Arabidopsis thaliana: one gene and its partner. The protein of the gene in region 2 purifies or fractionates together with the protein of the main gene of each other region. This does not show direct contact. Each region holds a gene or a part of one and is shown on either strand. Other genes may lie near its edges.

Region 1 (4,258 bases), on a different chromosome or scaffold from region 2:
AAACTATTGCTTGATTAAGTGTAGCCTTTGGTCCAACTTTGCATATGAACTGTGATAAATAATATTTCAAAGTTGTTTCAATATAAATTTATCAAAGTTATTTCAAGTTGCATAATTCAAATGTGAGCAGTGTTTAGATTGGGGCACCAAATGATTAAAAAATAAAATAAACATTTCATTCATATATGTTTTTTATACAAATGACACCATTATACGTAATTCTAAATACGTTAATATATATATGAGTCAGGAGGTTGGTGTAATAGATGAGAAGAATGAGGTTCTTTGGTCAGAAGTGGAAAGCAGACTCAGCCTCTATTTTATACTCAAATCAATTCTTCATACCTTCCACCAAAACTTTACTCAATATTTAAAACTATACTATAGCCATCTTCTTAAATAAATCTAACCCAAAACATGTTTCACAAATTTCTCATTTTTGTGTGGTGTTTGATCTCTTTGAGTCTTTTTTTTTTTTTTAATCTCTTTAAGTCTTTATTACAGTATATCTTTATAATTTGCATTTAACACCATAAAATAGATATATTGTGGTAAATTGTTAGGGTTATCAACTTGTCATAAAGCACAAGTACTCTTTTTCACAACTATAAGTCTATAATTTAATCGAAAAGAAAACACAGATTTTTTTTAACATAACAGGTATTTAGTAGACAGAAACACAAAAATACAGAGTAAAAACAAGTTCTTACTTTTAAACCACACAATACATATATAATAAACTTGGTTTTGCTTATATTTCTCTAATTACAGTTTCAAAACTCAGATTCTTAAGAACGCTGAGTTTGGGGATTCTATGTTGCCTTAAGCTCCGGCACTGAAGACATTTTCTCCGGCGAAGTTAATGGCAGCTTCGAATGAAGTTGGTGATGGAGAAAACAGATTTTCTGAAGAGAGATTCTGACCCATAAATATTACTCCCTCCTCCGTATCATCCTTATCGATAAACCCTAAATCAGGGAGAATATCTCTATGATCGGAAAAGGAACGGTTGAGATTGGCATTGAGAAGATTGCCGGTTGTGATGTCATGGATACTTGGCCTGCGTTTGTCCTTGGCTCCGGAGAGCTGTCTCTGGTAATACTTTTGGGCGTGGCTCGCCACTTGCGTTGGCGTCTTTGACACCACGAAGTTTCTCGATATGTTTCTCCAATCTCCTTTACCGTACTTGAGAAGGCCTAACAAGAATCTCCTGCAAGGAACAAGAAACAGAGCATTGAAAACCCTAAGAAAAAAGGGGATGACTTGCGTTGCAAGGAACCTAGGAAGAGTGACTTATATGGAAAGAATTCTGTAGAGATGAAAGAGTGTCTTAACCTGTGTTCTTCCTCTGTCCAAGGGACTCCTTTCTTTCGATCTTGATCAGATCCTCTAGCTCCACTAGGCCGTTTACGACACATGTCCGTGTCAAACCCCAAGGGAGAAGAAGCTGCAGGATAACCAGGAATGGGAACACGTCCTGCTTCAATATCGAAAACGTCTTCTTCAAGCTTACTATATTGCTTCATAACATCAAAAACAGTCTTTCCAGGGATCATGGAAGCAACTTTAAACCAGCGATCAGGCGAGTCTTCAGCGTATATCGCAAGAGCTCGTTCGAACATCTTGTTCTCTTCTTTAGTCCAGCTACCGCTACTCGAGCTGTGTAAGCTCACCATCTCTTGAACAACGAACCGGTGGTCAGAGATAGGTAGGTGAGAGAATGGATGCAGAGTCTCCATACCTAAAAACAAAAAAAGGGAAGAATAAGTTTCAACTACAAACACAGCTCAAAAAAGTCCATTTTCTTGCTCTATGTGTGGAGGAAGCTTAAAAGATAGATTTGTGATATAAGGAAATAATGGAAGCTTTTATATATAAGGTTTAATGATAATATAGTAGGAATCAAAGAAGAAGAAAAACAAAAGGGAAGGAAAAATGAAGAATCGTATACTGAGGGAATCAAGAACCTGATTTGGGTAAGAGATTTGAAGCATATATAAAACCGACCCTCGAATCTGAAAAAAGACTCAAAGCTTTGAAGAATTTATGAGAATCTGCAAAAGTGAGTCGTCGAAGGAAGACAAAAACAGCAAAGCAAAGCCCACTTGAGAGATAGAGAGAGAGGAGAAGACTCAGAAGCTGAAGAAGACCCAGTAAAGAGAGAGAGATAGTGAAGGAAGAGTAATATACAGAGAGAGAAGAGTCACTGTAGATATGGGAACAGAGTGAAGAGAAAGAAAAGGAAAGGTTTCTTTATTTTTGGGAAGATTTGGCGTATTTGGATTGGAGAACAGCGAATGGCACCACTCCACTCGGATTCTTGCGGTTCATTTTTCTCAGAAAGAAAAAAAAAGTTGATTGATCTATTTGATTCTATTATTTAATTCTTTGGAATACGACAAATTTGTTCTATCGCCTTTTTTCTGGTCCACACGGAGACATACTGTATGGTTTTGTTATAAATATAATGTTTTGATAATTACAATCAAAAGCGCCTGTAGCTCAGTGGATAGAGCGTCTGTTTCCTAAGCAGAAGGTCGTAGGTTCGACCCCTACCTGGCGCGATTTATCTCTTTTTATATCTTAATTTTGTCTCCTTAAGGAGGTTGTTTAGGATTAAGTTCTTACCTGGAATTAAGTGATGATTGGTTTTAGTATCTATGCGTCGGTGGAAAATATTTTTAGAAAGTGTGACAGATTCAATAGCTAAAGCTCATTAAATCCCACTATCTCTCCATTTTACTTGTGATGCTCACATAAGTTTTAAATTACTTTCTGCAAACAGAGAAAATCAAATAAAAGTATATCGGTTGTATCAACTAATCAAACTGTACAAGGTTTTTTAACTTAAGTTAATTTTGAAGAAGAGAAGGCTACATAGAGTCATAGACGATAGGATACGAATGCTTTGAAGTTTATTTCTCATCTGCAATAGAGACAAGAGTAATTTCTTGCGACAAAAGTTAACCAGTAACTCTTATAATATTTCGACTGTCATAAAATCTTTCAAGGAACCTAATAATATAACATCTCACACTGTTCAAAAGATAAATCAAGAGTGTTTAGCATAATAAGACATAAGCAGAAGAAGTTTGGGAGAATATGACGATCTTAGGCAGCAATGGTAAGGCCACCAGATCGAAGTCTAAGCAGCCAAGACATTCTCAAACTTGAGTTCTTCAACAGCAAGAAAATCTCTCTGTACTCTTTCTTCACAAACAAATCCAACGCAAACAAGTAAAGATCACTACCTTGCTCAACCTCTTCCATGGAGTCCAAACACTCAATGCATTCCCCAATGGTATACTCGTACTGCCTAACCGATGCACTCACTGGACTCTCCTTCATCAGCTCAGTTTTTAACCTGTGGCATCCCGGAGTTACAATTTCAACATCTTGTAACCGAGACTCTGCAAAACCAACACTGTTAAATCTCCGGTGCTGCGGAGTAGGCTGCTCATCATCGTCATCATTGTCATCTTCATCAGCTCCACCTTCACTACCTGAGACTGGCTCGTTTGTGTAAAGTGTTGATAATGGAGTTGGGTCATGTAGCTGTGGTGATTCGGAATGATGATCAAGCACTCTCCTGCGATAAGAACGGAAATAGGCTTTTCCTGGTTCTATAAGTCCTTTGAAGATGGTTGCTAGTTTATCCGCGTGAGGAAGTTGTTTCCTTCTGAATGGTGCTGCTCTATGATTCTCCTGTTAATCAAAGAACCAATGTTAAGCTGCAAACTTAATCAACTAATATAAAAAGTCGAGTAGCGTTTATACCTTCAAGTAGTTTTTCCAGTCTTCATCAGTAGCACCAAATGTTCGAGAAGTTGCATCCCATTTCATGACAGGAGCACCAATCACTTGACACCAGATCTTCCACGATTTCCTGGTGCAATCCCAATGATTCTTGAGTTGCGGTCTGGTGAAGCTTTTACCGGTATTCTGATTGATAGTCTCAAGGATCATTTTCCAAGTTTCCTTTGGATAATGTGAGTCAGGTCTGTTTCCTTTTAAAGCCTCTTGGAACAACAAATCAACAAACAGCTCATGTGAAGACGGTGACCAGTATCCTTTCGACTGAGGACTCGAGAAATTAGAAGCGCTTTGCGTGTCTTCTTCATCTCCAGTATTATCATTATCTTCATCACGATGCTTGGCTATTCGCTTCCTTTTGCTACCTGAAGTACCTTCATCATCTAAGTTACTATCTTCAAAGATAAGCTCAAGTTTCTCGAGGAACGATGGAGGATTCAACCGA
Region 2 (5,536 bases):
TAACCATATATACTGGAGTATTTGTTTTGAGTAATATTAAAGATAATTATGTTCAGCGGAAAAAAACTAATGTAATTAACTAAAATCAGATAATTGTTAATGATGAAAATAAGATCTGGATAAGATTTTGAGGGGTCGACATCATTAGTCTCCTCTAATTGTTGTTCGAAAATTAATGCTCAACTTTTAATGTATGTACTAATTGATTATAAACATTATATTAGTGTTTGAAATCACCTTAAATCGATAGATAGAAAAATCATTAAAGTTTTTTCACGTCTAGCATTTATCAACAACACACATCTGCAACATTTTAGCCGCTCCACAATGTAGTCCGTTCCGGTTTTTATACATGGTTCCGGTTTCATCCAAATTTTTACAGTTATTAATAGTTTATGAATACTTGAACAAAATTAAACTATAGTAAAAAAAAAAAAAAGTTTCTCTAAGATTTTGCTATTGTTCGATTAACTTTTCCACTCTGATTCTTTGGATTGGGTTCTTAACAGAAAAACAAATACGTGATGGTAATCCTCTCTCAGTTTTTACCATCGGAAAATGAATTTTTATGATGTCGTCAAATATCGAACATGCGGTAATAATCAGAGACATGCATTGCTATTAGTATTTCGTTTCCCCACCTATATTTTGGTCAAAAGCAAACGTGTGGGGGTATACATACCTTTTCTTTCATGTAATGATACATGCTTTTTATTTGTATATAAATATAATTATATTATATGATATCTAGAGTATCTAAATTTATTCAGTGATCTTCTTAATCAAAGGTTAATCATATCAAAACAACATTAGTGAACTGGATTGGGACCACTAATGAGTTGAAATAAGTTACCAGCTATTTCTTCTAATATCTGATAAATACTACTATTAGTCATAAGAACAACAATTAGAATTAATAATATTCGTAACCATAATTGAGAGTTGACTTGTAAAGAAAAAAAAAAGTTATCTGATGTACTCAGGAACTATTGCAAAAATACTATAAGAGCACAATTTAAAGATTGATTAGATTTTTTAAAAATGAGATAATGGAGAATCTAATGATGCAGAAATTGTTGTTCCCACACGGACATACAATATGATAGTGTATTACTTTTTTGATTATAATCCGTTGGAAGAAGATTTTATCAAAACATCAAAAATTTAAGACTTGTAAGACCTCTAAGAAAATAATTTAATATCATTGTTCAACATGTATATAGTGTAAGTACTAAGTACACCCTGTAACCCTATTAGTAATCTTGACTACCTTTTTTTAATAGCAAATTTGGTTGTAAATTTGCTATATTAATAATGGGCTTGGTATAGATTTTATTTTAGAAGGTCCATTACTTTCAATTGGAGTAAATGAACCGACTTTAAAGACTTTTAACTCAGGCCTTAATGTTACACAATAGAATAACATTATGACCCGGCCCAAATAAGTCGTCAGATCCAGTAAGCGTGCGACCAAACTATTTGTTTCTTACCATCGATATAAACTTTAATGATTTTATACAAATTGAATAACATATTTATACAAATTGAATAATGATATGGATAATCCCTTTTATCTAAACAAAAAGAAGTGGATAATCCACATCATATTTGTCTGTAAATTATTTGTTTTAGTTATCTACTGATAAAAACATTGTTTATCTATATTATTTTATATTATGTAGAGCCATTATCTCTTACGATTGAGCATTTTTAATCTTCTGACAGAAAAAATGCTAAGAATTAAAAGGACAAAGAAAAAAGAATGTGCAATTATCATGTGGTTGATTAGAGGTTTGAGAATGATTGGTGCTACCAGAAACTTAGGTGGAGAAAAGGATAAAAACCGAAATTAGACAAAAGGTTAATTTCGTCATTTCAACAGATTCTATTACCACTTCTTGTTTTGTTTTTCCATACTTTACGGACAAGAACGAGAGAAGCTCTCGCTTACGTGGTTTCTACACTGTTTTTGACGAACCCACCAAGCTCGAGTAGATCGGTATTAGATCCATCTTAGGTTTCTCTAATTTCTCTCAATTCACTCCAAAATTTTGATTATTTCTTCTTTCTGGCTTGTCAATTTTAGTCATTTGTAATCCTTGCTTTTGCGATCGGAATCGTAAAAATCCGATCTTTCTTTTAGATTCGTTTTGTTTTTGATTCCAAATCGGAAAAATGGGTAAAGTAGCTGTTGGAGCGACTGTTGTTTGCACGGCGGCGGTTTGTGCGGTGGCTGTTTTGGTTGTTCGACGACGGATGCAGAGCTCAGGGAAGTGGGGACGTGTTTTGGCTATCCTCAAGGCCTTTGAAGAGGATTGTGCGACTCCGATCTCGAAACTGAGACAAGTGGCTGATGCTATGACCGTTGAGATGCATGCTGGTCTTGCATCCGACGGTGGTAGCAAACTCAAGATGCTTATCAGCTACGTTGATAATCTTCCTTCCGGGTAATGTTTTCTAATTGGATTCAAATTCTGTTGCTTTTCATTGAAATTTTCAATCTTTGTCATATTAGAAGATAGAATATTTCTATCTCCTAATATGTCATCCATTCAATGTTGTTGATTGTGTAATATGGATTACGTTATGAAATGAGTTTCGTCCTGATTTGGAGATGTAATTGCATTGTCTCTTAATGGTCAAAATTGATCGATTAGATAGGATTATTGATCTACTGTTTCAGAATCAGTGAATCTTTTGGAATCCAGATCATGTCCCACTGAATCATTGTCTCATTTTCTTATAGGTTTTGTTGTATCACTTCTTGATTTTGTAGATTTGTTTTCATGGATTTGAGAGTTATTGCCCTTTTGATTAAGGTTTAATACATAGTTACATTAAGGCAGACAATGACAGTGATGTGAATATGATTTGTCTGAAAAGTCTGTCCACAGACATCACTTTTGTCTTATGGACTTCGTGATTAGATGGCATGATGGCATTGATTATGTTATATTACGTAGAACATTTTGGTGCGGTTTCATTTTCGCTTTAATATTGTTAGCCAATGCGGCAATGCGTCTAGTTTCATGTTGTAGGTCTGTCTTACATTTACTACCATTAATATAACAGGGATGAAAAGGGTCTCTTTTATGCATTGGACCTAGGGGGGACAAACTTCCGTGTCATGCGTGTGCTTCTTGGCGGGAAGCAAGAGCGTGTTGTTAAACAAGAATTCGAAGAAGTTTCGATTCCTCCTCATTTGATGACTGGTGGTTCAGATGTCAGTTTTCTGTTCTTCAATTTGTCATGTTTAGTCTTAGATGATCTTTGTGTAACAAGATTCTTTTGCGTTCTTTTGATGGATTCAGGAGTTGTTCAATTTTATAGCTGAAGCTCTTGCGAAGTTTGTCGCTACAGAATGCGAAGACTTTCATCTTCCAGAAGGTAGACAGAGGGAATTAGGTTTCACTTTCTCGTTTCCTGTTAAGCAGACTTCTCTGTCCTCTGGTAGTCTCATCAAATGGACAAAAGGCTTTTCCATCGAAGAAGCAGTTAAGCTCGATTTTCGTTCAACTATTTCACTTAAAATGTTTAGTTTTCGCCTTTGCCTTAATCTTTGTTTAACCTGTTGCATAGGTTGGACAAGATGTTGTTGGAGCACTTAATAAGGCTCTGGAAAGAGTTGGTCTTGACATGCGAATCGCAGCACTTGTGAGTTCTCTTTCGCCTTATGCTCTCTAGTGAATCCCTTTTGTCATGTGTTTGTTGATTTGTTTTTGACGTTTTACAGGTTAATGATACCGTTGGAACACTAGCCGGTGGTAGATACTATAACCCGGATGTTGTTGCTGCTGTTATTTTAGGCACTGGGACAAACGCAGCCTATGTTGAGCGTGCAACCGCGATCCCTAAATGGCATGGTCTGCTTCCAAAATCAGGAGAAATGGTTATAAACATGGAATGGGGAAACTTCAGGTCATCACATCTTCCATTAACCGAGTTTGATCACACGCTGGATTTCGAGAGTCTGAATCCAGGCGAACAGGTACGAGTTTTTAAACCCCGGTTTGTTGTTACAAAATGCCAATACCTACGAGGTGTCTCGAGAATGAGTTTCTATGTGGAATTTCATTTTGCAGATTCTTGAGAAAATCATTTCCGGTATGTACTTGGGAGAGATTTTGCGAAGAGTTCTTCTAAAGATGGCTGAAGATGCTGCTTTCTTTGGCGATACAGTCCCATCTAAGCTGAGAATACCATTCATCATTAGGTACTCTTTACTAAGTTTCATCCTTTGAGGAAGGGCTTTAGTCTAAAGTTCAACAATCATTTGCAGGACTCCTCACATGTCGGCTATGCACAACGACACTTCTCCAGACTTGAAGATTGTTGGGAGCAAGATTAAGGATATATTGGAGGTCCCTACAACTTCTCTGAAAATGAGAAAAGTTGTGATCAGTCTCTGCAACATCATAGCAACCCGAGGAGCTCGTCTCTCTGCTGCTGGAATCTATGGTATTCTGAAGAAACTGGGAAGAGATACTACTAAAGACGAGGAGGTGCAGAAATCGGTTATAGCCATGGATGGTGGATTGTTTGAGCATTACACTCAGTTTAGTGAGTGTATGGAGAGCTCACTAAAAGAGTTGCTTGGAGATGAAGCTTCAGGAAGCGTTGAAGTCACTCACTCCAATGATGGATCAGGCATTGGAGCTGCGCTTCTTGCTGCTTCTCACTCTCTCTACCTTGAAGACTCTTAAAACCTACCCAAAGAGCGCCATTTTTCGGTAATTTACTGAAAGCTTTTCGCTATCAGAAAACGCCTAAGCCAAGTTCTAAGGCGTCATAAAAGAAAGCATTCCATGTTTTTACTCTTCCCCAAGACTTTCTTTGTAGCAAATAAGTTTCCTTGGGAGAAATATTTGTTTTCATGTTCTTCAAAAATAAAAGACTCAGTTCTTCAGATTCTGGGATTTTATTATAACCAGATATGTTGTAAAAACTACAAATTCAAAGCTCACTTCACTGGAGTTCTGAGTATATAAAGATTTCATTTTTCCTCATCATTGAGTACACATAAAACTACTGTGTATGAATCTCATATGCGTACACAAAAGTTTACTTCAAATCATGTTTTACCAACAAATGGGTACACAAAAGATCAAATCTTTACTTCATAACAACATAAAATCTCCAACAGATGCATTATCAGAAAGTGGAACAGAACCTAAATCAAGAGTCAGATGATTGAACAGAGACATTGTTGAGACGTTCAAGAGCCAAGAGAAGAGCTTGAGTACCAAGATCACCTTCACCATGAGCCTTAAGAGACAAGTAAAGCTGTTGAGCAAGAGCTAAACCAGGCAAAGCCAAACCCATCCTCTGACATTCATTCAAACAAATCCCTAAATCTTTCACAAAATGATTCACATAAAAACCAGGATCAAAATCCCTCTTCAGAATCCTATCTCCATACAAATCTATAGACTTAGAACCAGCAGCACCAGTAGAAATCGCTTCAAGAAACTTCTTAACATCAAGTCCAGCTTTATGAGCATAAATCAAACCTTCCACAAGTCCTAACATAGTCGAA

What was found.
Region 1: the proteins of HXK1 (region 2) and AT3G11280 purify together in Arabidopsis thaliana (affinity purification with mass spectrometry, with the first as the bait; one study listed by BioGRID). This does not show direct contact.

The regions. Positions count from the first base shown.
Region 1 is NC_003074.8:3,532,655-3,536,912, forward strand, and holds AT3G11280 (Duplicated homeodomain-like superfamily protein), read right to left. Parts: upstream 2,341-4,258; 5' UTR 1,968-2,340; exon of another isoform or gene 1,742-1,967; 5' UTR 1,740-1,741; coding exon 1,336-1,739; intron 1,211-1,335; coding exon 823-1,210; 3' UTR 557-822; downstream 1-556. Other genes in the region: AT3G11290 (Myb/SANT-like DNA-binding domain protein), read right to left, coding at 3,112-3,705, 3,778-4,258.
Region 2 is NC_003075.7:14,351,505-14,357,040, reverse strand, and holds HXK1 (hexokinase 1), read left to right. Parts: upstream 1-1,839; 5' UTR 1,840-2,175; coding exon 2,176-2,447; intron 2,448-3,072; coding exon 3,073-3,223; intron 3,224-3,311; coding exon 3,312-3,494; intron 3,495-3,579; coding exon 3,580-3,654; intron 3,655-3,733; coding exon 3,734-3,988; intron 3,989-4,082; coding exon 4,083-4,213; intron 4,214-4,279; coding exon 4,280-4,703; 3' UTR 4,704-5,004; downstream 5,005-5,536. Other genes in the region: AT4G29120 (6-phosphogluconate dehydrogenase family protein), read right to left, coding at 5,176-5,536. UniProt on the Arabidopsis thaliana protein: Fructose and glucose phosphorylating enzyme. May be involved in the phosphorylation of glucose during the export from mitochondrion to cytosol. Acts as a sugar sensor which may regulate sugar-dependent gene repression or activation.